Linked DNA regions of Struthio camelus. The protein of the gene in region 4 binds, or shares a complex with, the protein of the main gene of each other region. Links are inferred from orthologs where the notes say so. Each region holds a gene or a part of one and is shown on either strand. Other genes may lie near its edges. The genes, in order: gamma-tubulin complex component 3, TUBGCP4, TUBGCP6 and TUBGCP5.

What was found.
Region 1: TUBGCP5 (region 4) and gamma-tubulin complex component 3 share a complex: the UniProt entries of both Homo sapiens proteins name them as parts of the gamma-tubulin ring complex. The link is inferred for Struthio camelus from reciprocal best matches to the Homo sapiens genes TUBGCP5 and TUBGCP3.
Region 2: the proteins of TUBGCP5 (region 4) and TUBGCP4 are in contact, whole or in part, in a cryo-EM structure (PDB 9I8M), measured with the Xenopus laevis proteins. The link is inferred for Struthio camelus from reciprocal best matches to the Homo sapiens genes TUBGCP5 and TUBGCP4. Residues at the interface, in XP_018102626.1 of Xenopus laevis: His233, Leu234, His235, Leu238, Ile241, Trp242, His245, His300, Met301, Thr302, Asn304, Cys305, Ser308, Val309, Gln312, Ala392, Ile393, Leu395, Asp396, Lys397, Arg410, Leu441, Asp442, Tyr443, Asp444, Asn445, Val446, Gly447, Glu448, Ala449; in XP_018110859.1 of Xenopus laevis: Met1, Ile2, His3, Glu4, Leu7, Tyr12, Pro13, Gly14, Ser15, Ile16, Gln29, Pro32, Phe33, Glu60, Thr63, Gly64, Ile84, Arg87, Ala88, Arg91, Arg101, Leu105, Gln109, Leu112, Pro115, His116, Leu117, Val178, Gly181, Val182.
Region 3: the proteins of TUBGCP5 (region 4) and TUBGCP6 are in contact, whole or in part, in a cryo-EM structure (PDB 7QJE), measured with the Homo sapiens proteins. The link is inferred for Struthio camelus from reciprocal best matches to the Homo sapiens genes TUBGCP5 and TUBGCP6. Residues at the interface, in NP_443135.3 of Homo sapiens: Asp211, Asp212, Arg213, Trp215, Leu216, His219, Val220, Val221, His222, Trp225, Ser230, Phe232, Pro233, His234, Leu238, His239, Ser240, Asn241, Leu242, Leu264, Val265, Thr266, Glu267, Thr268, Gln269, Arg272, Val302, Thr303, His304, Leu305; in NP_065194.3 of Homo sapiens: Glu290, Ala291, Ser292, Lys293, Arg294, Arg295, Cys296, Trp297, Glu298, Arg299, Val300, Gly301, Cys302, Pro303, Pro304, His306, Arg307, Glu308, Glu309, Pro310, Tyr311, Leu312, Glu314, Lys322, Arg325, Leu326.

The regions. Positions count from the first base shown.
Region 1 is NC_090942.1:157,251,723-157,258,694, forward strand, and holds the start of gamma-tubulin complex component 3, read left to right. Parts: upstream 1-3,966; 5' UTR 3,967-4,277; coding exon 4,278-4,353; intron 4,354-6,972. UniProt on the Homo sapiens protein: Component of the gamma-tubulin ring complex (gTuRC) which mediates microtubule nucleation.
Region 2 is NC_090953.1:213,788-221,291, forward strand, and holds the start of TUBGCP4 (gamma-tubulin complex component 4), read left to right. Parts: upstream 1-4,485; 5' UTR 4,486-4,570; coding exon 4,571-4,648; intron 4,649-4,754; coding exon 4,755-4,883; intron 4,884-5,375; coding exon 5,376-5,498; intron 5,499-5,992; coding exon 5,993-6,046; intron 6,047-6,526; coding exon 6,527-6,583; intron 6,584-7,175; coding exon 7,176-7,255; intron 7,256-7,504. UniProt on the Homo sapiens protein: Component of the gamma-tubulin ring complex (gTuRC) which mediates microtubule nucleation.
Region 3 is NC_090942.1:22,790,445-22,798,259, forward strand, and holds the start of TUBGCP6 (gamma-tubulin complex component 6), read right to left. Parts: upstream 3,010-7,815; 5' UTR 2,911-3,009; exon of another isoform or gene 2,860-2,910; intron 2,323-2,859; 5' UTR 2,256-2,322; coding exon 1,509-2,255; intron 742-1,508; exon of another isoform or gene 672-741; coding exon of another isoform or gene 660-671; intron 7-659; coding exon 1-6. Other genes in the region: polyamine deacetylase HDAC10, read right to left, coding at 4,701-4,726, 5,448-5,607, 7,467-7,652. UniProt on the Homo sapiens protein: Component of the gamma-tubulin ring complex (gTuRC) which mediates microtubule nucleation.
Region 4 is NC_090942.1:148,792,331-148,799,150, reverse strand, and holds the start of TUBGCP5 (gamma-tubulin complex component 5), read right to left. Parts: upstream 3,001-6,820; 5' UTR 2,883-3,000; coding exon 2,734-2,882; intron 1-2,733. UniProt on the Homo sapiens protein: Component of the gamma-tubulin ring complex (gTuRC) which mediates microtubule nucleation.

The DNA.
Region 1 (6,972 bases), about 8.5 Mb from region 4:
TTCTCCTCTGTGATATGAGGAGGACCCACAACTTGACCTTGAGGCTTTCAGTCCTGGCAAATGCAAGAGTTGCTATTGGCCTGAGAAATAGGCAGCAGGGAAATGTGTAAACAAAGTAAGGATAATAAAATGCAAAAACTATCTATCTCTGACGCTGTTACTTTACAGTAAAATTAGCTCCAAAAAACAGTTTGATCTTAAAAAGTCCAATGGCCTCGTGAGTCCTTCTTGCAAAGTACTGCAATCCTTCACGGAGCTTTGTTATTGACTTATGCTATATTTGATGAGTTATTTTTGCCTAGTAGTACTATCACATTTATAGAAATATCTCATTGCAAATACATTGTTACATATTTTATGATTGTTCTGCTACATAGCATTTTTGTATTCAGAGTCTTACTTTGAAAGTTTCCTCCCTTTGTCTACGTCTGAGAAAGAACGAAAGCTTTTTCCATAAAATATTGGAGCCAGATACGTTCAAAACTCATATTGAACAGCTGATGTTTTATACAAAATTAAATATATATTTGGAAATATGATCTCAGTCTTATTACAGAGCTTCGCTCTCCAGGCTCCAAAATTATTGTTCTGCCTTTTTAAAAATAAAATAGTTGTCACAGAGTACCTTTAACTTCTAAAAATGAAGTATTTCAAAAACATTTTTTAGATTTTGACAAAACAGAAGTGTTATTCACAGAATCACTTTATGATGGAAGATGATTTCATGTAAATTTTTCTTGCAGCTCCATATATGTAATATGACCACGGGCAGCACAGGAAAATGCCAAGGAGTAGTTTTATTGAGCTTGCTGGAATGCCGTTTTGCTGGCTGCAGTTATACTGTTCATTAGAATGATACATAATGCTGTCCACTTCTATGTAATCAATAATACTCAGTATTGAGTGGGCTTCAGTGTGTGTGTGTGTGTCTGTATAGCTTCATGTTAGAAGGGAACTCTGTTTATGGCTAAGTAGTGCTGGATAAATAAACACAAGACCTATCAGGAGTCACCACCAGAAGACACTCAACTGCACTGAGAAGCAAAATATTGGTACTATTTCTGGCTTATATGATAGCTAGTAATAGTCATCTAAAATTGTTATTTTATTGTAAATAGTGAAAAAAGAGTTCCAAAATTAAAAAAAAAAAAAGTTGTCCTTAATTTTGCCTTTATATAGCTTATATCATAGTCTCTGGTGTCTCCTAAGTATTTTAAAACACAGGCTTCATTCTAGGTGTTTATGTGAATTCAATAGACTTTCTGTAGGTATATGGCATATATATGTATACATGGAACACATTTCAGGCTCCTCAGTCAACTTAAGAAAATCCTAAATGAAGAGTTTTGAAAACAGAGAGGGGGTAGCAATATTGTTGAAGTTATAACATGCAGGCTATAAGGCAGAACTAATACTCAAGAGGGTTAAACTGGATCAAATTTTCTTTTCATCTGAGCCTTGCTTTTGCACAGGGAAAACATCCATCTGAAATCAAGTCACATCAGTAGAACTAAGGAAGCTTTGTTTCTTGTATTTCCTGGGAACTTGCATTCCTCCTGCCTCCTTCTAGCTACTTTTAACATTATTTCCAGAGCTCTTTGTCTCTTATACCTTCACTTCCTGAGTCTTCTATCTGTCTGGCTGGACAAGAAGCAGCTGGTGCATTGGCTGGTTCAGAGCTAGGTATGTGCTGCCCATGATGTGCGCACCAATCAGCTAATTTGATAATAGCAAACAGAATAGGAAGAACTAAGTTCTCCTTACCTTTCTTTTCATGAGGGCACTAACTTGGATCTTGGTACTCTCTTAACCACAGAACTCTATAAAATGTTTATTAATATCTTTAACTGGCAACGGATCCAACAGTTATGAGAACGTGCTGATGCACAGAACAACTGTATAAGCCTCGTCACCTTAGCCACAATGGGCTAAAAATGAAAAATATGTTCCCAATAATCTAACAGAATTGACTGCTATTACAGTATTTGAGAAGCATTACGTAGGATGCAGATTTGCTGAGGCTGAAAAACTTAAATTAGTCATTGTACTTTTGCTTGCAGACACACATAAGTAGGCCCACTTTAATAGCATGCTCCATATTGTGCTGTTCCATAATGTGTTCTAATTTTAGAGCAGACGCAATTGCCATGGGTAAAACGACCAGCATGAGCAGAAGTATTAGGTTTAATACATCCATTTAAAAGCAGTAACAGGATATTTGTCAGGGACTGGATTTCCTTGGAATCTGAAGATTTTGTATAGCAGCACAACTTCCTGATATTATTGCCACAACTTTTTTTTTCTATGTGAGTATATATACTCCGTATATACTGCTTGATAAATGAATGCCTCCAGGATGAAATTCAAATGTGAAGTGACAGTCAGCAGTAATGACTCACCTACTCTTTGTAGAACCGACGCGTTTCCTTTGGGTAGAGAAAGGAACAGAGATTGTTCCGCTACTTGGTAGGAAAAAACCCACAGTCTCTGAAGCCTTTCAGAATCAGCTTACAAACCCCTTTTTCACATAGGGTCAAATTCTGATAACTTTATTAATGCTGAGTTGTCTGAACGTTAATTTGAGAGTCTAAAGAAAGCATCACTAGGATTGAAAGAGTCATAATGTGAATGGTAAGATTACAATATTCCTGCTACAATATCCCAAATAACCGAAACCCAGATATCCTCAAGCAATTTTAGTTCTTGGCTTGCCGTCATGATTACTTTCTACTAGTAATGCTGGTAATGAGGCAGCAAGGAGTCGAGTTCATTGTTTGCATCCATAATGTTTCCATAAAGGAAGGTCTGAAGTTATATGTTCATAAAAGGCATACACATAAAGTCATGGCTACTCAGAGATGAAGTAGCTGGGTGCCAATACGGGCTGTCAGAAAGAAGTTTGCATAGCAGGAATTGTTTACAGCCAGCAAAGCGCTACGTCCACCTGGCTGCTGCGGCATTTTGAAGCACCTTTACTAGACAAGAGGGAGCTGGGTTATACTGAGCTCCAGCAGCACAGGGATAATAATTATTCCCTAGTGATAGAATTTGAGCTGGACCTAGCGTGAATTGACTGAATACGAGAAATGAAGGAGAGGCATCCTCAAAAGTCAGTATCTCTTTCAGGGAAGTGATAAACTTGAGGAGCAGGTTTGTCAAAGGTCTGGATCCCAGTTAAGAGCATGTTGCCTGAAACAGCCCAAGAGCTAGCTTGATAAGGCAACCTGCTGACTGGAAAATGCCTGAAGCACACCCCTGATTACAAAAGTTACGTTATTGTTTGATGATAAGCTCTGTGTCCAAATGATAGTAACCAATTTGCCAAGCTGTAAGTTTTCATAAAATAAAAACATTGTACTTTTTACATTGAGATTTCTTTAGTGATTTCAGCATAGTTGGCAGATGACAGGTATCTCATCCTTCAGGAGTGGCAAACACCTCAGGGGTACCGCTTTACTCTCCAACGCCAACCACAACAGCAGGAGACTGGGGACCTCAGCGGGATGCATGGGCTGCACATCCACAAGGCAGCGCAATGTAGAGAAGATGTCGATTTGAGATATTGAAGTATTTTGCAGATCTGCATTGATTTGTAACAATTTTATGTGGAAAGGTTATCAACATGCATTGATATTTTTCCAGGCTTAAAAAAAAAAAAAGTAAGTTAATGTCAATTATACTTCACTGTAAATTATAGCGTGATAGCAAGGCCGTGAGCGACTTGCTCTTCTGGGGGCAGAAACGAGAGGATTTGATCTCTTTCGGTTTGGGGAGGGGGATGAAAGGACAGTTTCAACAAGTGGAAAGTGGTCGCAGGGTGGGAATTTTCAGTGTTTGGGGCACCTTCGGCCGGGGTTGGCTTGCGCTGCACGCCTCCGGGGGTGGCTTGGCCACGGCCACGGCCACGGCCAGGGCGGCACCGCCGGGGCAGGCGGACCCAAGGGGGGCCGGGGGCCGAGCGCGCGCCCGGAACCTCGGCGCTGCGGCTGCGGGCGGCGCGGGGGAGCGTGTTCGGCGAGGCGCGCTCCGGTGCCGCCCGGCGCGCAGGGGCATTGTGGGCGCTCGGCTGCCGCCGCTGCGGCTTTCGGCGGGTTCTGTTAAAATGGCGCCTTAGGTAACGGCCGGGTGATCGGAGGTGTCGTCGGGGTCGCGCGCCGGTTAGAGGAGAGGAGCCTCTTCTCCTGTCCCTCCCCTGTTATCCCGCCGCGTCTCTCCTCGCTCCCGCCCCTGCCTCCTTCTCCTCTTCCCTCCCCGCCGCCTCCCTCCCCCGGGCGAGGATGGCGAGTCCGGACCAGAAGTCGCCCAACGTCTTGCTGCAGAACCTCTGCTGCCGCATCCTGGGCAAGAGCGAAGGTAACGGCCCCCCCTCCCCCCGCCGCGCCCCCCTTGGCGGCCGTTGGGTCGCGGAGCAGCCTTCCTCCCCCCCCCGCCCCCCATCCCCGCGCGCGCGGAGCGGGGCGAGGCGGCAACGGCCGGGCGAGGCGGCGGGGGAGGGTCGCGCTGCCCTGGCGGTAGGGAGGCGGCGGCCCTGGCCGAGCGGGCTGGCGAGGGCCTTCCCCCGCGGCGGGCAGCGTGTACGTATCCCCAGCCTGACCCCCGCCCGCCGGCGGGCGGGCGGCTCCGCGCTGGCGGCCCGAGAGAGCGGCTCCGGGAGGCCCTGCCGCCGGCTGGGGATGGGGGGCGGTCGCGCCAAGCCTGAGCTGTGGGCTGCTTGGGCGCTCTGCGGCAGGGAGGTGGGCTTGTCACACCTCCGTGTCCTCCCCCGGCAGCGCTCCCCTCTGCTGTGGAGTGGGGCACTGCTGCTTGGGTGGCTGGAGCAAGGGGTGGCTTATGTATGTCTTCATAAACCTCCATCTTCCTCGGATGCCTCCTCGAGTCTGGTAACTGCTGTGGCAGCTGAATGAAACCTCCTAGATCATCTGTATTTTTGCTGTGATGTTCTAGCGAGAGGTTGAATCTCGGGGTGTTTGCATAATTTCTGTCTGTTGCAAGCAAGGCAAAGCTTCTGTTTTTAGCAGGCGGTTGGAGGGTGGAAAGGAGGAGGTGCATCTGCTATGACTCCTTTCTAAGTGCTATCGGAAAAAATAGCAATGCTGTTTATAAGCATTGCTCACCAGAGAAATTTATGACCTGCCTTGTGTTCTGTCCATTTTCTCGTACGAACATGGAAGAAAGCCACATTTCGTATTAGCTGCCAAGTCTTTTTTGTGTTTTTCTCTTGCCACTGTTTTCCCAAAAGTCACTGGGGGTTACCTTTAGAAATCTGCATGACAGTAACAGTAATAATTTTGAGTACTGACCTATTGTAAAGAACTTAGTTCAGTCTGACTGAAATGTGGCCTATGAATGAATTACTGTTGTCTTTGAAGTCTGGAAAATGAGCAACAAGGTGCAGAGGTATATATATTTGTTGTCTTATTATTTCATATTTTTTCACTCTATCTATTGGAGAGCTGAGAAGCTTGGAGGAGTTTGGAATCTCCTTGCCTTCGCTGGAGTGTTGAATAGGGACCCTTTCACAGAAACATCCTTTAAGATGTTGGTTACTGTTTTCTTTTGTTTGTTTTTGCCTTAAAATCCTGTTCCCTTTCTGTTAGTATGTCTTTTTTTCGGTCTTATGTGGGCTATTCCGTACTTTGCAACCAACCCCCTTCAACAGGATTTGAGTACTTTCCTTAATTTCAGTGAGGAACTATTTATATCCTCTGATAAGAGAGCAGATTCCAAAAATCACTTTTACAAATTGCTCCTGAGTAAAATAAAAATGATATTTCAGCTTGTAATGCTAGCTTCTAAACTGTGTAATACCTCCTGCAGTTTTTATGGAGCCATATGTTTATTTTAGCAGCTCGCTTAATTATATATTAAAGGGTATTTCACATCAGCATACAATTATAAGATGCTATTGGAACCTTACTTTTAAAGCTGTTTCTCATCTTTGAAATAACTTGGAAATATTTTTCTAATGCAATTACAGTATTTTTATATTCAAGAGCACTTCAAACTTTCACAAGAAAATTCAAATTATTGTGCTAATTCCCCCACCTTTAAAAAAAAAAAAAAAAAAAAAAAGGAGGGGGGAGAAATTGACCTGCATTATTAGAGCAGTGGAGACATCTGTTAGGTTCTTATGTTGTCAATGTTGAGTTGCTGAATCCTGTTTTCTTGATGACTCTTTTTTTAGACACGTAGGGAACTACAGTATGAATTGATCTAAGTTTGTGTTGGTAAAGAGCATTTTAGTTAGGTATGTGACATTTGTAAAACTTAAACAGAGAAGAAGAATAGAAATAGAAAAGTATCCTGCATTTATCAATTGTGGCATGAGTGTTAAGGAGAGGCTGGCTATTTCTGCTGACTTTGAATCTAGCCTTCCTTTTGGAGCTGTAATTTCTATATGTTTTTCTCCGTTCTGAATGTTGTAATAAGTTTATTTGCAAGCTCATATATGCTTGCATGCACTAGCCTGCAAAAAAAGCAGGACATGAAATTTTTTTTAATAAGCGTTGAACTTATTCCTATATGCTAGGCTTCCACTCATGTAACTAAAAGTGTTCCCTCCTTCCCCCCCCACCCCATGTGTGTGTGACTGATGAAAGAGGAAGCTTGTAGGAAGTTACCCATAATCGTACTAAGTTGCTGCATGCCACCTGTAGTCTACTGCCTCTGATCACTTGCGGGTTACTTTCAAATTGTTACTTCAAAGATGACCTCAAATTAAGGTGGGTTGTCTGCCCTGTTTACTATTACCCATATCTTTATGCATATGAGAGATGGAAACCTATCCTTACCCTGTTCTTTATCCTCATGTTAGGAGGGATCCTGACACTGAAGACTCGTCCTTCTAACATAAGGCTTTTCTTGACACAGTAAACTCTATTATGTACTTTACTTATCAACGCAGCTATTGGAGAGCACCTCCCTGTTGTTCAGGCTTTTAACTCTTATTTTCTTTCAGCACAGGAAAAGCTT
Region 2 (7,504 bases), on a different chromosome or scaffold from region 4:
TTGAAAGAGACACTAATGAATGTAAGTAATGGGCTATAATGATGATAGTAATAATAATAAGTGATGGCAACAATTTTGTAAGACCATGACACCCCTCAGCTCTTAGTCAAAATGTTTGGTAACAGTTATAATTCTAATATTAATATTTATTTATATTACTTCATATGTGGCCACTCTGCAGTTATACAACGAGAAGACATTTTAAACAATGTTTCTATATAGACTGTGGAGTGCAGAACTGGTTTTGTTCCCCTAAAATCCCAGAATAATTTTTGCACATCTCCATAATCCTAGTGAAAAAAAAAATCATAAACTTGGTCTTGTCTATAAGACCCATTCTGACAAGAATAAAACAAGATTATCACACATTTGCAGTTTCAAAGTTTCTGGCTGAACCTCTTCAAGGTTATACTTGAATCGCTCCTGTAATGGCCCCACCGATCATTGTCTCTAAGATTTCTGGTCTTTGTTACTGTCTCTACTAACTGCTGTTTGTTAGGGTTTGTGTATCTTTGTGTTTAATTTATTGCCTCTCCTGTTTCTTGTCTTCTTTTTTTTTTTTTAATGTTGAATAGCCGCTAGCTAGATAGCCTTTCACAAAGCACTACAGAGGTACCTATTTTTCTCTAGTTTCACCGTTTTAGTTATCAATTCTGTACAAAATTTAATTATTCTTTATTTGGCCTTGACTGCCTAATCACCAGGCTTCCCTGAGGAAACGAGAGCTGCAAAACTCAGTCCTTTATTTAAACTACTGTTATCTGTTCCTTTGCAAGTATTTACTAGCCACTTTCTTTATCGAGAAAGATTATTTCTGTGAATGGTGCTGGGGGGAAAAAAACACAGATTACCTGAAGACTCTGAAGCTGCCATTCTGCAGTCGCTTCAAAATAACCTAGCTGCAGGCTGCCACTGAAACAGGGAATCTCTCATCTCTTGTATCCCCCTCCAAACATTATAGTATATACAACGATCCTGCCTGCCTTTCCAAAAAACCACATGGTCTCTTAGTCCAAAAAAGATTGGGAGATAATAGCATATTCAAACAATGTTCCACTGAAGAATTTCTCATGTATGTCCTCATTTCTGCCAAAGTAAAAGCTGAAGATGGAGTAGGATCTGCTCTAGGTCTCATTTAGCACTAAGAATTCCAAGCCATGACTTATGCTATGACACACAAACCCCTCAGAAAGCTGAGAGAACAGATGTCTTTTGCTGCTCTACACAACATCCTTCATTCTCCTGACTCGTCTCATCCGTAACAGTCATTCCTTAATACTGTTCTTTGCGCTTCAAGTATTCATAGACAATTGAGACCTTTCCCTTTAGATCTCATTTGTCCGGGATAGGTTTATTTAGGTCTGTAACAATGTTTAGATCCCTAATCATTTTTGCTGTCTTCTCTAATTACCCAGTTTAGCTACATGTTCCGTGTTAATGGGCCCAGACTGGCCTGCAGGAATCCAGGCACAATTGCGTCAGTTGAAAATATTTCTATGACTCCTACCCCTCACATATCTGATGATACTGTTTTGTATATGGTCATATGTCAGGCTGTGGCTGCACCAGATCAGAAACGTAGTGGCCAAATGAGACAAGTTGTTGCCCTGGTCTAAAAACGCAGTGCTGTTTCAAAACTGCACTCCCTCAGCCCTGGCCCTCCCATCCTTGTGGCAGGGAACTTTGCAAGAGGCTCTGGGAAAGCTGCAGAGGAAGTGGCTGCCCACTTGGGGGAGGAAGACATGGCCAGCCCCATACCACTTGCTTCTGCAGTGCCAGACCAGCCAGGCAAGACAGGTGAGTCTGGCTCACGATATGGGGTCTCCTCCATCCTATTTGTTTCCAGACTTGCTTTTGCATCCTGACCTCACTTCACACGGCCCAGCAGCCACCTGGGACGCAGCCCTGCATGCACACTCATGCACACGCATGCACACTGTCTGCAGTACTCCACAGGGAAGCCTGGAAGCAACATGACAGAAAAGCCCAGAGCCCAAGTACTGCCCACAGTCGTGGCACGGAGCTGGGATGCAGCCAGAGGCTGCTGGGCTGGCAGAGGAGCCCTCACTCTCCGGAGGCAAGCGAGCCATTCGGCACTCTGAGCTCCCACCATAAAACACTCCCCTTTCTTCCTGTAGCAGCGCAACATCAGCAAGCTTTGTACTGGAAAAGACTTCCTGAATTGGAAAGCTGTGCGCTTGCCCCCAAGTACCAGGTACACTTTCTCTTGAAGTGTCTGTAACGTCCAAGGAAGCCTCAGTTACATGAAAAACCACCCCCATTGCACAATTCTCAGGATACGTTTGTGTGCAGCACAGACTCTGTGTCTTTTTATCTACTCTGTAATGCTGCTTTGCTTCCTCTATATTTGTTCTCATGTAGGACTACCTATAAAGACGCTTGGATTAAAATCTTGAGCAGACCACAATGTTTAGCTGCAAGTAAACGAGTGGGAGTGGGCTGCAGATTTAGATTGTAAAAAGAAGAGACAATGAGGCATCTAGTCTGACCTGTTCTGCAACACTAGCCACAGTTCCTTTCCAAACACTGTGCATCAAACCCATAATTTTTGGCATCCCAAAGGACTCCAGTGATAAAGAAAGTCACTGTATCTCTATTTAAATTGCCTTAATGGTTAATTATAATCTCATCTCTAGTATGATTCACTTCCAACAATTCACTGGCTTCACTGCAGAAATATTAGCGGCTTTTTTAAACCTTTGCTAAAGGAAAGTTCATTCTGCTCTGATAAATTTTATACTCCTCCCTTGTCCCATAGAAGACTCTTATGATTATCACTTTTTGTGGAAGAATGCTACTGTAAGCTTAGTTTCTGCCTGTAGAAGATTGCTATGTTTAGATTCAAGATTCTGTAACAGATTACATGTGTAATACCTATTTCCATAAATAAAATACAAGCATTGCGTTAATAGTACTGTATAATCACCACTAGATGATGTATTTAGTATTTACAGACAAACCATTTTGGGGGAAATGTAGTGAGTCGCCATGCTCTGTATGAATTAAACTATCTATAAACTATCCACAGCATACTTAGCTTTACAATCTTTTGAAAACTGTACGTAAATTAAGCATTGATCAAATCCCACCTGCTAGTGCAGAAGTTTTGGGCAGCAGCACGGGACTGAACCAAAGCCGGGGAAAGACTGCCGCTTATCAAGCAAGGCTGAGGCTGACAACGCTGCACCGCAGATGCAGCTTCCTAAGGGCAGGAGCACCACGAAGTTTTACCAGCCCGGTTGTATACTGCGTTACTTATGCCCACGATAAAAACCAAATGCCTAGCCACCTTCATCTTTAGTCAGACAACGGGGGTTTGTCACCATAACAGAGTTATTTTCTTATACTGATACGTGAGAAACTGATACTGTTGGGGGCTCCTAAGTTATGCCTAAAGATAGGTATAGGAATGTATATGCGCACATGCCAGATGAAATGAGAAAATCCTACTCTTTAAAGGATGGGGTTATGCTCAAGGAATGTATTATTCCCACAAGAAGTTTTGCTACCCGTATTTCAGACCTTATAATGACAAGTAAAGCGATGATCATGAACCAATTACATTTTTTAAAAGGGAGAGTTAACAGACACCAGTTCCAAGCAATATAAATTATACTTAACGCTAATTTTCCCTAAATGAGGAAGTAATGAGAAAAACTGCGCAAGAAGACACTGCCAAAAATAAGAAAATGAAAAAAGTTCGTTAAAGAAGAGTTTATTAGGCAACTCCACAATTTTGAAAGAGGGCAGTTTCTGTCAAAAGATTATCTGGTTTAAGAGACAAAGCGAAGGAAAGCAATATATAACAAATAAAGGGGAAACAGGTAACTATGAAGGTAAAGCTTATATCGATAAAGGAAACATTGGCCAAAAATTAAAAAAAAAAGTCCTCATTGGAGGACTGAGGATTTTGTATTATCTTGGAGGAGAGCTTGCGGGTCAGCCCTTGCCATCGCGAGCACCGCCATATTCGGCCGACTGCCACGGCGGCCCGCAGCGGCGAGGACCGGCCCGGCCCGGCTCGGCCCCCCCTCACAGCCCAGCCCGGCCCAGCCCAGCCCAGCCCGGCTCAGCTCGGCTCGGCTCGACTCGGCTCAGCCCGGTCCCCCCTCACAGCCCAGCCCAGCCCGGCCCGGCTCGGCCCCCCCTCACAGCCCAGCCCGGCCCAGCCCAGCCCAGCCCGGCTCGGCTCGGCTCAGCCCGGCCCCCCCTCACAGCCCAGCCCAGCCCGGCCCGGCCCGGCCCCCCCTCACAGCCCGGCCCGGCCCGGCCCGGCCCGGCCCGGCCCGGCTCGGCTCGGCTCGGCCCGGTCCCCCCTCACAGCCCAGCCCGGCCCGGCTCGGCCCCCCTCACAGCCCAGCCCGGCCCCTCCCCCCCGGCCCGGCCGCTCCCGCCACCTCCCTCGGCGACGCGCCCTCCCGCCCTGTCACGGGCGCGTCCGCCCACGCACCGCCCGGCAGGAGGCGGGGCTGCCGCGCAGGCGCGCCCTCCCCTTCCGTCCCGGCGGCCCCCGCGCGGCTCCCGGCGGCCTTGGCGGCGGCGCGGCAGGATGATCCACGAGCTGCTGCTGGCGCTGAGCGGGTACCCGGGGGCCGCCTTCACCTGGAGCAAGCGCGGCGGCCTGCAGGTTCGGCCGCCCGGCCCGGCCCGGCCCGGCCCGGCCCTCGCCGCCCTCCCCCCGCCCTCCCTCCCCCGGCCCGGCCCAGCCCAGCCTCACAGCTCCTCTCCCGCAGGTGTCCCAGGAGCTGCCGTTCCTGCACCCCAGCGAGACCAGCGTCCTGAACCGGCTCTGCCGCCTCGGCACCGACTACCTGCGCTTCGCCGAGTTCGTGGAGCAGTACACGGGCCACGTGCAGCAGCAGGTGGGGCCCGGCCCGGCCCGGCTGCCGGGGGCGCCGGTGCCCGGAAAAAGCCGCCTGATTCTGGCGAGGGAGGGTCCAGGGCTGCGAATATTGAAAGACGGACCAAATAATTTGTGGTTGCTGCAAAGTAGCCAGGGTTCGTGAGCTGTACGGGAAGCTCAGCCCTCGAGTGCTGTGAGCCTTTGTCATGGTCTGCAAAGGGCGCTGAGATCCGAGAGGCATGCATAATCACAAAGAAACACCCGTGGCTACTTGTACTTGGATAGCTACTCTTAGCCCTTGCGTGTGTCTACAGAAGGGCTGAATACCACTTTGCTCAAGCAGCTCTCCTTGTGACCCAACAGTTGTTCTTTCTGGGTGCTTTCCAGTGGGTTAAGGTGCGTTTCAGGATGTTTGGACCTTTGACTGCTGGTGTAGTGCTCTGTTCAGAGGCTTCATTACTCTTTAGACCTACACTCAGGAGCTGATGTAGATTTTATTGTTTGGTTTCAGGACCATCATCCATCTCAGCAAAACCAGAGTGGATTACATGGGATTTATTTGCGAGCCTTCTGCACAGGTCTTGATTCAGTGCTGCAGCCCTATCGACAGGCACTGCTTGACCTTGAGCAAGAGGTAAAGAGAGACTTGGAAGAAGAGGCTCTCTTCTGCAATTGTAACTTCTGCAATTAAGAAGTGGTGGTACCTAAAGAAGTGACAGGATATTTTTCTTTCCACTTCAGGCACAACTTCCAAATTATTCCTGTGAGGGGTCATTGTGAATGACCTTTCATTCTAAGTAATAAGTCCCCTCTAGTCAGTCCAGTGGGTGACCCGTTTGCCTCAGAACCCAGTGTTATCTATTAGACTGTTGTTAGACGATTGTGACTTACGTTTTCAAAATCTCTGAAGATTTTGAATTAAACCCCTGGTGGATTAGCAGCTGTTGCATCTTGGGTACTGTCACTGACCAATAGTTTCATTGTAAGTTACAGGCTAGAATGAGAGATGACCCAAAAATCTGAGAAAAGCTGTGACAACTAACGGTAGACGGCACAGAGCCAAACCTGCTTTTTTACTTACCTGTATCATTATGTTAACTTTTATTAAGAGTTTTGTTGTTGTTACAGTTTCTGGCTGACCCTCATCTTTCCATCTCGCATGTTAATTATTCATTGGATCAGGTATGTCAATGGTGGTTAACAGATAGCGTTCTTTGGTTGTTTTTATTCTCTGATCCATAAATTGCTCTTTGAGTCTCTTGAGAAAATGGATGGGATAAGGAAGGGTTAATCTGTCTTACTTGTTTTGAACCACTCTGAAACTGTAGTCCCTTTATCACGCTTAGAGGATTACTTGCACTTTGACAGAAAGCTTGGGTCCTCTGCCTTTTACTCTGGCACATTCCTCACTACTTCTGTTTAGCCTGAACTGCTACTGGAATATGGTAACTTCATGCCTCTTGGTCCAGTGGAGGGAGGACGTTCTTTCCAGAGATCTCCAAGTCACTGAACGAGAATAGTTCCTGTCTGAGGGGAAAGTGAGATGAGATGATGGTTTGATTAAACTATTATACTCAGCTGCTGTCTATACTCACCCAAGCATAGTTTTTATCTTCCCCTTGCGTAGCAACCTAATTCAACGTTTTGCTCCGTATTCTGCAGTTCCAGTTACTCTTCCCCTCTGTGATGGTTGTGGTGGAACAGATCAAGACTCAGAAGGTAACAGTGAAACCGCAATTAGTTTCTCTTAACAAGATTCCTCTTAAGTTGATTAAGTATTCTCTGCCCTCCCCTCAGAACTGAATGTTAGGAAAGAATCTGGCTTCAGTAATGTGTGTCCTGTTCCTGGTACTACTACGAGTATTGAATAACTTTATGTCACAAATCTATTTACGCTGAATTAGACTTCCTGTTCTTTTTCATTATTACTATGATCTTTGATGATTTGTATTTTATAATTAATTGCCATACATTTTCATTAATTACCATGGAATGTGGTTGGAATGTATTCTTTTTTGAGTCTGCTTTCTCCCAACCTCCCTTGAAAGAAAAAGGCAGAAGCTAATGTTTTCAGAATCCAGAGATGCTTCCTATTTGCTAAGCGAGATTTTTGAGAGACGCTTAGGTGTAGAACTGCACATAAGCCTTTTTGCTCGCTACAGAGAGTATGTTTCATCTCCCTTTCTGAGGGCCATGTACAGCTTGCAAGGGCAGTTCTTATTAGCTGAAAGTGTAGTGTTTCAGTGTCTGGAAAAAATCTGCACTGGTGTCCAAATGACAGACCTAATCTGCCCACTTTTTCTTTCTGCAGATTCATGGATGTCAGATATTGGAGACTGTCCACAAGCACAGCTGTGGGGGGTTGCCTCCTGTTCGCAGTGCTCTTGAAAAGTATGTAGATGCAGCAATAACATTATTTCATTCTTATGTAGCAGCTAGAGTTAGCGCTGGAGTGTTTTATCTTACTTAGAAAGCAGGTAATGTCTCAGAGTAGGAGTGTCACGCAGGGCAAACTGTACCCATTGTTTATCTATAGAGGTTTACAGCAGCAATTCACGCTTTCTCCATACTTTGGACTGCAAAGGTCTTACTAGACTTGTGAGGCATCTCTTAGGGCTAAGGAAAGTTCAGACTCTACGG
Region 3 (7,815 bases), about 130 Mb from region 4:
AGGAACCTGTCAAAAGAGTTCATACGCCACACGTGAAATCATACCACCGGAGAAACTTAGGCTAATGAAGAACATGTTTTGCTATCATTTGTGATCCAGTGACTCCATGTTTTAATCTGTTTTTACCTCCTATATTAAGTTTCTCTTGTAAGCATTCTTTCATCTGTTACAACTGTAGGTACAAATGTCTATACATAAAACAATGATCATCATCAAAATAATACATTTTGTTGGTATTAAGACTGAAACTTATTCCTTTTGTAAGCACGCCAACTGACCGAGAATTTCATCTCTGGACATTCAGCAATATGCAACACTCCAGTAAAATAATACTGCTCAGAATTTCTTTTCAACAAATGATTCAGGCTCCAACTCTTCAAATTTGTAAATTTTTCGTTAACTATGGTCAATTCCATTTGTTAAACCTATTCACATGCAGAAAAGCTGCACGTACCTATACCCTCAACACCGCACCCTCAAATCCTGCCCATTTCTACAGGAGTTGTACGGGCAGGGCAATATCCAGTTTTAGTAGAAGCCAACCTTGACAAGACACACCCATGTAAAACACAGCATGTTCCTCAAGAAATTTTCCAGTGCGATGGAAAGGGCACAGTGCTTACTGGAAAAGGCTCTGCCTTCCCTCACTTACAACTTACCTTGATGTGCATACATTAAATGGCATAAGGGTTTTTTCTTTTTAATGTGTCCGCCTTCAGGCTTCTATTAAGACATCAAACAACGGGAATTGCAAAAGCGACGCATGTGTTAAACAGAAGGAACAAAATAATGATTAAAAGTACAGAAACCAAAAAAAAAAAAAAACCCTACCTACACACTGAAAAACTGGAAAGGGGGGAAAAAAGAACAAATCCATTTTTCTAGTACCTAGTACTGTTATATGAGAATATAATATAGCAAAAGTAAATAGAATGGATAGCAAAAGGAAAAAAAAGATGCAGTAGAAACTGTACCCATTGAAAAGGTGTAAGGACATTGGGAAATACGGAGTTCAGTGAAAATCAGCAACTGAAACAACTGGCTTAAGATGTCATAGGGTGAGGAAATAGGACGAGGAAGGCAGTGTAATCTGAATAGCAAAACACATAAGCACTCCTGTCAGAAACGCATGCAATCAGTCTGAGCAGTAACAAACAACAATGCAAAGTTGTGATATATAAAGCAGGCAAAAACGTAAGCAAAAGATTACCAAGGTGGGGAAGGAACAGATATAGCTGATGGCTTAACTTCATATGGCCTATGGCCAGATGACTTCTTTTGCACATCGCTATAGATGACATCAAGCTTTTGTTGTCTGCCCTACATCTCTGTACCTGAAAAGCCTGTCCGGCTCTCAACAAAGAAAAGAATCCCTGTTCCAGCTTAAATTCCACCACCGTCATGTTTGGATTACACACACAAAAAGATTAACTTGTATTTAAAAAAAGTTTCAAAACAGCATATTGAAGCATGCATTCACTCTAAACCAAAAACAAACGCTATCATACTTTAATTGCAAGTCCAGACAAATCTGCACTGTCAGGCACTGGCGGTAAATCCAACTTGATGTCCATATCATACGTTCGGCTGTGCACAAGAGCACCGAAGAGCGAGACCCGTGTTTCTTTCTCAAACTTGTCACCAGCAGGATAGTTTTGTGAGAATAACCCTATAGCAGGGAGTCCCGTTCCAGGTGCAGCCTCCATTATCTGAAGTGTCTTTTGAATAGTGTCATTGAACTGACATTCTTCATTTGTGATTAGAGACTGTATATCAGCTTCAAATACACTCACATCATAATAATCATAACCCTGATATTTGACGTTTCTCCCAACATACTTGTTGTTTAGAAAATAGTCCTTTTTTTGTGGCACAAGCTGAGGAGGACCTGTTCCAGCAAGCTGTACTAAGAGATCCAAGACAGAATTAACCTCCGTAAATGGTAAGCAATCAGCTGCCTCCAGCTCTTCCACAAGACTCTCCAGCCTATCTGCTTGAGCACCTAGACCGGCAACTCTCAAGTTGAAAGACAGCATCAAAATTTTGTTTTTCACTGGAAGCCTGGAAATGTTTGACTGCAGCTTACGAGCCTCATCTTGAAAAAGGTTCATGAACAGGGCATTGTACGCAACCCGTTTCAGATTTTGCTTAGCCCTCCTCTTGCAAATCTTCCGTCTCCCCAGGTGGACCTTCCACGGCAAACCTGCCAGGTGTGCTTCACACAAATCATCAAACAGCTGCGTAATGCTCTCCATTTCAAATCCAACTGTCAGTTTGCAGCGATTACAGTTTTATGCTGGGTCTCTGGTTGAATCCGAAAACCTAGAAAACACCAGGAAAAAGAGGAGACAACTTGTGACTGCCCATGCATATGAGACCCCTGTACGTTTTAACGTAAACTGAGATGGAGATAACCCAAAACGAGAGAGACGAAAACCAGGCTAGCACACGCTGAGAATACGAGTTATAAAAATGACGCTACGGCTCTGGATCACAAGCTTATTTTACAGCCCTGCAAGCTTGCCTGCGGCCGCCTGAGGCGCCCACCCCACCCAGACCGCCGCAGAAGGCGGAGCATCGGCCTGAGCGAAGCCGGGACGCGCCCCTGAACATCCGTCCCCCGAAGCTCGACGCCTGCAGCCTTCCCCGGCAGGCCGGCTGCCGCTCCGCCTCGCCCGGCCCACAGCCGCGGGCAGCCAGGCGGACGCCGCCCTACCAGCGCGTCGGCCCGGCCCGGCCCGGCGGGGGCGGCCCGCAGCAGCCCCCCACGGAGGGGGGCAGCCGCGGGGCCCCAGCCCCTTCCACCCGCCGCACGGAGCTCCTCAGCTTCCTCCCCGCCTAGCTCCCGGCCCCTCTTACCGGAGGGGGCCCCCGGGCCTGCTGCCCACCCCGGCCGCCCCGTGCGCGTACCTGGGGCCGGCTGCGCCGCCGCCGCCGGCTGCCTGCGCGGGGCCGCGGTAGCGCGGGCGCCCGGCCGCCTCCCTCCGCCTCGGCGCGGCTGCCAGCGCCGCCACGTCACGGCAGCGCGACGGGCGGCGGCGGGAAAGGGCTGCGCCGCTGCCTGAGGCCCCTCGGCGCCGCCGCCGCCCCGCGAAACCGGCCGCTGTCCCCGGCGAAACGGATGGAGTCTCGGGCAGCGGGGAGGCGGGAGGCGGACGGGCAGGGCAGGACCCCGCCGCCGGGGGCCGTACGGATACAAAACTGAACGCGGACCGAGGGGCAGGTCGCTGTTTTTAAAGCGACGCCCCGATTTAGGTCTCGAAACCGACTGTTAGTGGGATGCTCGTTTTTACCGTTTCCACTCACGCTGTGTTCACTCACGCTACATACGCACACGCTGTTGCCTTAGAGACACCAGCCGCGTTTGCTTTATATTTGTGTCCTGAGCTGCAGAACTCAACCCTGCAGACAATTTGCTTGTCATTTGCAAAGTAATTCTGCTGAAAATATACACAGTTACTGTCCCTTAGTTCACATCTTAGAACCAACATCTTAGAAAAATATGTAATAAAAACACCACATCTGTATGTGCAAATGGGCAAGGGCAGTGGTGGTAACTACTCCAGTATAAACCGTTACTCAAGGAAGACTTTTCAGGCCACCGACTTTCTCCTTTAACGATACTGCCGAAGTTAAAACACGCAAACCCCGGGTCAGAAGGTAGTCCTTTTAATGCTGCATTTCATAACACTGCTCCCTGTTTCTGCAGAGCTTTTCCATTTCAAAATGCTTCACATAAACGTGACCTACTTAAACCTGGGCGGGGAGCAACGCTACTTTTCCCTGCTGAAGAAACGGAACCAGAAAGACACGGAGGACAGCTGAGGCCACGGAAGAAACTGCTAATAAAGGGATGTCAAATCAGGGATTTCTTGCTTCCTTGCTCAATAGATTTAGTAAACAGATAAAAGCATTAAAAAGGCTCTTTCTTGCATAGATGTTATTTTAATCTTTTCATTGCTTTATTCAGTTACATAACCTGCAATTTATATGTATGCAAAATATTCTTATCCTTTTCCTCTCTTATGTCCTGTATAGGACTGAATTTAATCTCAACCATTTAAGTAAGAAGGAAATACAAGGAAATACATACATTATTGCTGTTCACTGTTTTTCTTTCTTAACTGCGGCAACTACTTAATGAGGCAATTATTTATCAGAAAAATTAAGAGAAAAGTCCATCTTAGGAAAATGCTTTACATCAGAAGAAAGATTTCATTAGTCTGAGGGATCTGCTGTTAAGTTTAAACTCCCGTTATAAGAGTGGTAGTAGCAGCAGTGCAAGCATTTTGATGTTATGTTGAACAATTTAAAAATATTTCTGGCTATTATGATTGCCCATTTCAGATTCCTATCTTCTAGACTACTCCTGCTTTCATGCAGTCAAACTACTGCATTAAACAATCTTGACTTCACAGTCAGAAATAACCTCGGACCCAACGTGCAATGATGAAGGCACAGGAATAAGTTTTTAAAAGTCAGTCTTGCATAACTGGTACCAATACAGAATTTGCATGTACAATTCCCTAGATATAGACATGAAAATATGCATTTTACATATTTTTAAAAGATGAAACAATTGTTAATGGTTCTTGTTCTGTATACGGATCAATCATCCTTTCCTTGATGATTTAAAGAGCAAACCAAACAGCAACACATTTTCTTCTGCTGCGGCTGCGTAAAATCATTCTAAAGTGAAGTCAATTTCCCGAAATCCCATTCTTCACTAGAAAAGAACAGCAAAAAAAAAAAAAAACCAACAATTAGTCAAGCTCACACCAAAATTCCCAAACCCTTAAGAACATTTCTATCAGAATCAGACCACTGCTGTTGACCTTTTCCTCTGAAAGAAAGGAGGACATCTTATTTCAGAGAGGTATGCCCACTTTTATCATTTTTTCTTTAAGTTTACGGCATTTCGGCTAAAAAACATAAGTTATTCAATAGCGAAATATTTCTAGATAAGCATGCTTCAAAGCATGTACACCTGCTTAACCTGATTCCTATCCAAATAGACTACCTGATCCTTAACTACTTATGAATATACTTTAAGTACAAGTAATCACTATTGCGTTTCGGGTATTTCTGGAGTCAAGTTAAATACATCAAAATGTTAGCAGATTCTGAACTGTATTCAGAAAAAAAGTTAACAATCAGAGCCAGTGTACATCTGATAATGATTCTTTAAAATATTTTGGTAGTTTCATTTCAGGATAAATAATATAAAATATTGGAACAACAATACTGAAAGTTCCTTAGAGTACAGTTACTGTGTTACAGTTTAGTGCTTTTTGGCTCAAGCAGCAGAATCAAAAGCATTTAAAGTTTCATCCTGTTCCCATCAGATCAGTGAAGAACTCACACTGACTTTAATCTAGCTGTATTTTATCATCTTTCAGAAATTTACGTGTATTAGTAAGAACTAAAGATAAAAAGAGATGACTTACCTGAACACCGAAGCATCTTCCATTCCTGCTGAAGCTGCTCTCTTAGTATTTTTAATGTATGTACTTTTTCTTGGGTAGGAGGTGCACAGACTCCGAAGTCAGGTCTAGAATTACCCGCTAAGGCTGTAGCTACACTTTGCATTAGATTTATCTCTGTGTTCTATTGCAAGAGAAAAAAATACTCTAGGATCAAAACATTCTTTGTTTTAGTAATACATGAAATATTTTAAAACAAGTTTTTGTAATGAAGTTGGTAGTATTAGTAGCAAGAACGAGCAACTTCCAATTTTTCAATGAAAAGTTGCCAAAATTACGATTTTTCTGAAAAAGAATTAATTTTAATATCTTACAAAGCTTTTTTTTTTTTCTTTCCAAATAGAGAAAGAATCTCAGTTTCCCTTTTATGAAGGAAAATAAATAATCCTGGATTAAAGGTAGAAAACGTGAGAAAGGGAGGGAAGGAAAGAATGGAGCTCGTTTGCTTCATGCATCATTTATAGTGGTACATTTTGCTTCAGTTTAAATCAATGTCACTTGCTCAGAGAAATTATTTTATGAAGTATCCATAATATATGAAGATTCTTAACAACTATTTTGAAGAACACAACTCTATTTTATTTTAAATGGATGAAAGTGAATTTTCAATTATGCTAAAAAGCAAAGCAAACATTAGAAAATCTACATGGTATTAGAAAATCCTGCTACAGGGCTACTCGCATAGTACCAACATAAAACTTTGTATTTCAGTTATTTCTTCAAGGCATATGTCTAACTTCCTTGTTATCTCTGAATTTACCCTCCAGACTGTCAGTGAGTCTTTGCATTTCATACTAATTTGTAGTGTGCAAATAAACTACTTCTGTATACCGTACATCAATGTATAAATTATGTTAGCTTAGACAATTTATGTATCAGCACAGTAAATCGAATAACATTTGAGAAGACTACAGAATAAAGTATGTCAAATCCACTTAATTGGCAGCCTGATGAATGGTATGACTTTAATTGGATAGTTGCTGGAGCAGATAAGAATAAAATCGCTTATGTGAACAATTATTCACTGTTTCTCATTACAGAAGAACCAAAAGGCACAGAAACAATCAAAGGTTACTTTTTCACAGAAATACAGCGATTGTGTTACTCAGCCACGAGATGTTGCAGAGGCCAAGAGGAGAACTGAATTCTTGAACAGTTTAGACAAGATTCATGGACTATACACTCTCAGTACTTATTACACATAATGGTCTGGATACAGCCTCTGTCTTCTTAAATTTAGGAATCCCTAATCAGGTAATACCTAATCAGGTATGGAAACACTCTGCTAGGGAAAGAGCCACGAATACTTATCTTTCTGTTTCCTTCCCACGCTCTCTGTCAGAAACAGGAAGCTGGGGTAAATGGGTTCTCAGTTTATCTATTATGACAATTTTACTTAAAGATTCCTGCCATTTTAATGTAGTCATTTAGATGCCATTTACATGGAAGCTGTGTGTGATAGAGCCCAGCATGGGACAGAGACAGAGAGGAAATCTATAGAGTTTTAGGATAAACAGAACAATGTGCTGCTTTCAGCCATATTTGATGAAAAGAGACCGTATCGTTTCTTTCCCAGATGAGAGCAAGCGTTCATTTTTGAGAAAGATCTCCGAGCTGTGGAATCCCAAGTGGACAAGGAAGCTAAGCTCCAAGCTGAGGCAAATCATCAGAACAACCTCTGTTCTCTATAGACCTCTCTATAGACATAACCATTAGTTCAGGGATGGCCTTCTCAATCATGCAGATTCTCTACAGCTTAGTACGTATTTCTGTCTGATCTGGTTCTCAGGCATAGGGATGGCAACAGCTTATACTCAAGCTCTGACCCCACAGACAGAAACTTGGGCTATTTGTGCCATGAACTCAGAGGTACCCAAGACAGTGTAGATATAACCAGTATTTTCTACTGGGCAGCACGCTGCTGCTCAATTTGAATTCTGTCCCACGCACTTTAGATGATCATGGCTTAGCACCATTTCTTACCTCAATCACTGCAAGAATTCGAGACTCAGCTAATCCTCGTAGTAAACCAAAAAGCAAAGAAATCCCATTTATTCCAAGGCTCCTGTTTGGTCCAACAGCTATTACTGTTAAGTTGGCTTGATAACTATATGCTACAGGAAGAATGAATCCAAATACAGCAGAAAAGAAGTCATTTCCTTCAGCACCCTTTAGCAGAAATGGAAACAATTTAGCACAAATGTAAAGCTCAAAATTCACAGATATAAAATAGAGAAATAAGATGAACCTCAAAAAACTTGTACTTGACCTAAGAAATAGGATACTGATCTGATTTCACAACAATCTATTAAAAATGTAGCTTTATTCAATA
Region 4 (6,820 bases):
GAGGAGCTCAAGAACATGTTTGTCAGGGATCCATGTTGAAGGCAGAAAAATCACCTGGGACTGGCATCACAAGCACAGGGAAAATATCTGCATCGAAAGGCCTCTAAAACCAAATGAAAATGCTTTGAAAATAGTAAAGGAGAGTGCCAGAAAGAACAACAAAAGAGAGCCCAAGTAAAATAACGAAGGATGAACTACAGAAAGTAGCACATGTTAGGACTGATGAAAAGTAAGTTAGACTTTACAAAGGAAATTAGAATAGGAAAAAGGCTCTTCAGTTATACATGGAGAAAAACCTGGAAACGTGATATGACAGCAATCTGAATTAGATCAAGATTCAAGATTCTCCATATGTAGCCCTCAAAGTCAACTGAGCATTTTGCCTCAGCTTCCAGTAACAACTGCATATAATTGCTATCACCTTGTTCTACGAGCAACAGATGAAAAAGAAAACTACTGCATCTGAACAGGGAGCAAAAGCTAAGTTTAATGGACTAAATTTGGAGAGGCAATCATCTCAGTGTCAAAGAAATGAACTAGAAAATGACACTGCAAGCCAAGTAGCAAGGATTTTTAATAAGCTTCACTGGAGGATAGAGACATGCCTGTATTTAAGAAATAGAAAAACAACTTGGTTAACTACTACCCCTTTAGTCTGACTTCAGCTGCGTGTAAGGCTTTGGAATAAATGTTGGAAAGAATAACTAAGAGATTAAAGTAAATGGAAAGCACAATAAAATGTGACATTAACTGGGTAGCTGATATTGAAGCTAAGAAAATACAGCGTATCGCATCTGTTTCAGCACATTAGCTTACACAGGAAATCATTAGCTCAACTGGAAAATGGTGATAAGTACAAGAGCTGGAAGATATATAAAAATAGACCAGAAAGATGACCAAAGGAAAGCTGCATTGAAAGGGAAAACCATTAAGCTAAAGGGAAGTTATTAGTAACTTTAGCCTAGTATTGTTTAACACTTTAACTAATGACTCTAACACAAAAAAAAAAGTATTTCAATTTTTTTTAGGCAAGGTCAGAGAATCATCAATAGAAAAGGACTAATATACTGCATGGAAAGAATTAGATGAATCTGAGAACCACAGTATAGAAATGTCACTGAATCTAATAATACAAATCACACGTTTCACAAACTCGAAACGAAAAAGAATTTATACTGTTATCTAAGGGTGCATGAGTTGGAAACACGAGATTTCTGGCTGAAGTTCTTGGTTTTTTGGACAGCAATACCAGCACAAACACGTTCCTCTTCCCAATATTCCCACTCCAAACTGTTTGTTGTCAACCCTTCATTGTCCCCTCTGTTTTCCCTGCCAGGTTGTTTTTCAAAAAATAACCCACCACTTCCCCAATTGGAAAGACCACATAGCAACACAAGCAACTGTGTCACTGAAACAGAGGGAGAAGCGTAAAGTTAGGTGACAGACGATGGCTTATTTAATCAAGCTCAAGAAACCCTGCCACCATTACAAAACTGCAGACTCAGGATAACTACTACTACAAGCAACTATTCTGATGCATCTACAAACCCAGCAAATATAATTCTATGATGCATTAAATCAAAATATGTCTGGTAAATACAAGAAATACAGTGAGACAGCAGCTGCAATACCATATTCCTACTTTCCCAATGAACACCACTAGCCTCCCTCAATATTTAGCCAAGTGTTGAACTTGTCAAAATGCCAGCTATGGGTGACACTCAGCTCTGTCACATCGCAGACTCACACCAGCCACTGACCAACGCATATTTATTTATCGTTTTACGTAAAGTAGTCTTATTTGAGTCTATAATAGGTATAGGTTTCACAATCCTACTCAGTGCTGCAATGCAGTAAATGTCGCTGCTCACCTAAAAACCGCATTAAAGCGGCATGAGACATGAAAATACCATTGATGTTAATTCGATGAGCATGAAGTCAAGCAACTACATAAGGCTCTGTAGAGGCAGCAATTAACTGACAGTAAGGGGAATGGGAAACAGTTTATGCGAAAACTGCCAGCAGATGCTTGGTACAATAATTACAATAACTGAAAAAAACAGTGTGTGCAAGCTCAAGAAGAACATTTCAGATAGTGTAACGTATGGTAACTGTATCCCTTTAATTTTATTACTGGCTAACGGTGACTGTAGTTATGGTAAGCTTAAATGCCATCAAACAGATCTGTCTTTGCAGACTGATATCCTTCAAAAGCAGTATTCTTGGCCAGGCGCTATATCTCGATTTGGTGGAGTTCTGTTTATTTGCTCTTAGGCATAACGACTATTCCTTTATTTTCTGTTCGACAGACATGAGTTTTTGGACGGCTCGGTGAGAATGCTAAAAAGGCCCCTTTTTAAGTATCGAGAGAAAAACCCTGACAGACTGGGACTGAAAAGTGCCGGAGCAATAGGCAGCGACCCTCCGATAAGGGCTTGCAAGCGGTCTCCAGTGCCATCCTGGACACCCGTTAAGGCAGCCACGGCCGGGCACTGCCGCAGCGCAGCGGCCACCAAACACCCTCCCCGCTGCCAGGCGACAGCGGAGCCCAGGCAGGCCGCACCCGACCGCCCCGCTACGAGAGGCGCCGGGCCCCAGAGCCGCTCCTTCCCTCCTGGGCGGCAGCGGGCAGAGGCCGGCGCGGGGCAAGGGCCGGGCGCAGCCACAACGGCCGGTGCGCCGGGGAGGGGGGCGGGGAGGGCCGCAGGGGCTCTCGCAGCGGCGGGCGCTGACCTGAAGTTGGACCAAGCGAAATTCAGCGCCATCTGGAACCGGCCGCCGCCGAGCTCCTCCTCCGGCAGGCCGGTCACGCGGCGCACCAGCGCGCGGACGTCCCGCTCCTGCTCCTGCTCGAAGCGGCTCCGCGGTCCCGGCACCGCCATGGCAGCGCCGCTGGGGCAGCGGCCCAGCGGGGGGCGCGCTAGAGCCGCCGGCGCGCGCGCAGCCGCCCGCCGCCCCGCGCGCGCCGCTTCCTAACGGCCTCTCGCGAGACCCTGCCCCGGCCCGCCGTGGTCAGGGCGGGCGGGCGCGCATGCGCGCGGCGGGAAGAGGCGAGGGCGGGGAGAAGCCGTTTGTAGTCACGTGAGCGGGGCGGCGCGAGCCCTGCCGTTGGCTGGTGCCCGGTGGCGGGCTGCGGCTGAGGGGCAGCGCGGGGGCGGGGCGGGTTGCCGGGGGGGGGGGGGGGCTGCAGGTGTCGGGGCTGGCAGTGGCCGTGCAGCCCTACCGCTGCGGCCCTTCGAGGAAGCGTCGGTTGTGTCAGAAGCGCTGCCACAGAGGTGCGATCGCTCAGGATGTCACAGCCCAGAAGAGTGGTTCGCTCCTCTGTGGTAACTCAGATGAGGCTCGACGTTGCCCAGTTCCCTCCAGCAGACCAAAGTGTCTTGATAGCGAGGAGGATCTGCTGTCAGTCCGGGGAAGGCGCTCTGTTTTTCAACATTTTTCTTAGAGATCCGGGCTTTTTGCAGCACCATCCACCCTGCTATGTAGTGCATCTCACCTTCTTGTTAAGACCATCCCACACAAAGCAGCTGTGCTGCTACTAAGCTATTCTGGAGCAGTTGGGTGTGCTCCTCCCTGGCTAAACCTCGACTTTTGCTCAGTGGAATAAATAATCTTTGGTGGACATTTTGTAAGAGGTACGTGACTTGTATACATGATGATGAGTAAGAAACCAGTTCAGTTTTGTCCTCTATGTCAAATGTACACAGGACACTGAGCAACTTCCAATGCTTCTGTTGCTTAATGTGGTTTTATAGTGTAGCAGTAACAGTGTCCTGACCGTGACCGTCCTAGGAAGAAATTAATCAAATTAGTAGAAAATATCCTTACTGTCGATAGATAACAGTCCCTGCTCTGCTGCAGTTGTCATAGCCTTTCCTTATTTTTAGGCTTTGTCTTGCTAATTTGATTTTACCAAAAAATACTGAATTGTATTCCCCTCCCAAATAGTCTTTTATTCCTCTTCACTATAAAAATGTTTATATCGGCACAGCTGAGGAAGCAGCCAATGGATCAGACTGAGCGGTAGAAACAAAGGCCAGAGAAAGAAATTTTCTTTTTGAGTCCGTTCTAAATTGAGATAGATTTAAGTTACTCTTACCCTTCCACGTGTCCTTACTCACTGGACAGTGCAACAGTGGGATGAGAGGCTGGAAAGGCAGAGGGACAAGGACAGTTTAAATCCATACAGGAATCAGGAGATAATGTCTGAAAATGTGGAGTCAGGCTGTTCAGAAAGTATTTTTTAGACTTAAATCCGAATTCCACTGTATAGTGAACAAATTTGAATGGTTTCCAACTACTTTTGAAGAGTAATACATAATTTTTTGGGAAAGCAAATGTTTTATTGCATACAGTTTTATTCCATACGGTTCAACAAATGAACTCCAGGCAAAAAAACAAACAAAACCCGAAACCTAAAAGCTTTTTTGAAAGAAGTTACCCGAAAGAAAAGGATTTTAAAACGTATTACATTTACCAACATTATGTAAAAAATATGTAAAAGTACAGTAGTAGTAATGATTTTATAATCCTAACAGTAATAATATTGAAATTCTTGTAAATTGTAATAGATTAAGGAACACGAATACGCTTTCATACTGCTAGGCTGAATCATACCTTAAGCTTCATGTATGAAACTGCAAGGAAGTGATGGTCTCAGTGCACGTGCAGGTGGGAAACTTAGCATGAACATAAGCTCAGAGGGGCACTGCTTCAGGGGTGTTACTAAGCCTTTACTAAGCGTTCAGAGAAAAGATCTGTAAAACTTTATTAGTATTCCTATATTTCCAATGCTCTCTGTATCCATTCTTTACTTTGGATTAGAAACAGTCTTTTTACTGTATATTTGAACAGTGTTTGGCCAAATAAAGTTTTGGGTCATGACCTGTTGCCTTAGGTGTTAACGAAAGTTGTACGCGGTAATCGCTCCGATGGTATATGCCATAGTAATCAATACTTGGAATGCTACGAATCGCGCTTAAACAAAGTTATTAGATACTAAAGCTTCAGGTGCTCTTTGAACAATGATACTGCATTTTTTAGCCTATCACTTCTGTATACTTCAGCGTACGCGTGCCATCACTTTGATTGCTGTTCAGAGAGCAAGTTCCAGGCTTTGTAGCATGATGGTAGGATGTGTGTGTCATCTGAGCCCCTCATGGTATGAGAAGCATTGCAGCCACACGTATCAGAACCCCCATCAGAAAAAAAAAGAGGAGGGGGGGGGAGATTTTCCCAGCAGGAAGGATTCCAGGTCTTAATAGTTGTCCTGTGGCAAGCTGAGTTCCATGAAACACAGTCTGTAATGACGATGCTCTCTGAAAGATTTCCTGCTTCCCGGCTCTATCCAAGTCCTTTTCCCCCTCACAGCCACACCCTCAATTGTGCTGTTTGCGAAGCCACACAATGAACTGAATCAGGGAACTGATTCGGGTTTAAAATAATCTTTTTTTCTGTTTTGCAAGGTATTTTATTCCAGATCAGTTCACTGATCCATTTTATTGGGGGTTTCAAGAGGTGAGGAAAGAACCCCATACGCTAAAGCCTAAAGGAAAGAGCAGTATCAGTGGCCGGTGAATCAGAAATCTCTGGCCGATTTTCAAAACAGAATACAGGGATTGGGACAAATGCCTGACATCTGTGGTCCCTGCCTCTTGAAAGGCTTTAACTCTACTAATCAGTTTTTTCATCATAAGCCTTATTTTACCTTTGTTTTCCCCAGTAGCAAGGCAGGGTATTTTATTTCAATACAAAAGTTAGTCGACATCAGTTTTAAAGAGAGAGTACCTCCCGGATGAAAAGAAAAACCAATAAAATTGTGGACATTTGGATAAAAATACAGAACAATATAACACAGCAGTAATTCCACAGTCTTTCCTTTTCCTCCCGCTGCCATAGTTCTTCCTGTCTCCAGCCTAGTACTCAGCAGTTTTGTCTTCTTCCTAATCACAGTCCTGCTTCTCAGACTTTCAGTATACTTTCTGTAGTCCAGATATGTACCACTGCTGTCAGCATTTCTGTGTGTCTGAAAGAAAGAGACAGCACCACAGACCTGAAGAATGGAGATTTGAGACCCAGGCTAGAAGTTGAAATGGAGATGCTTGAAGTTGAGGAGAAGCGGCCAAGTCAGAGCTGAGAGAGGGAGCTCTGGGCAGGGGATGGACACAAAGGCTGGAGCTGACAAAAATCGTAACCACTGATAAATATTCTTTATCTGACAAAGAAATAGATTTAAACTATTAATTTTTTAGCAAAACTGCATTTTAATGCTACGGAGCTCAATATCTTTCCTTATATTCCTTGCCGTTTTTTTGTGGCAACTGTCACTTCCCACCCAGCTGTCCTTCCAGGTCACACTGCTATGAACTAGATGTATCTCAGCAAAGTGTTTCCTTGGTCACAGAATTAGGTCATATGTAGAACACGTGTGTATAATGTCATGTAAATGTTTAGATGCAGTCCCATATTGAAGGAGGAATTACAGGACAAGGCTTTTGCTGAGCAGTGCGTTTTTCAGTGAGATTGCTCTAAGTATGCTGTCTCCAATCTCCCTCCTGTTTCCCAGCTTCATTTGACAAGACAATTTGACAAGTAGGATTCCGGAGTAGGAGAAGGAATATATGAGATGAAATATATAAGATGGAGGCCTGGTTACCATGAACCTTTACACAAGTCGGCTACGTGAGGTTCACACTTAATGCGTGAAACAAGCCAGATCTTCCATCACTTTCATTAGTCACCTCTGCTGCCAGCACAGCACAGGATAAATTCTGCAGGACTGATGGAACATACATTTAAAATAGTATGTTCGAAGAAGTAT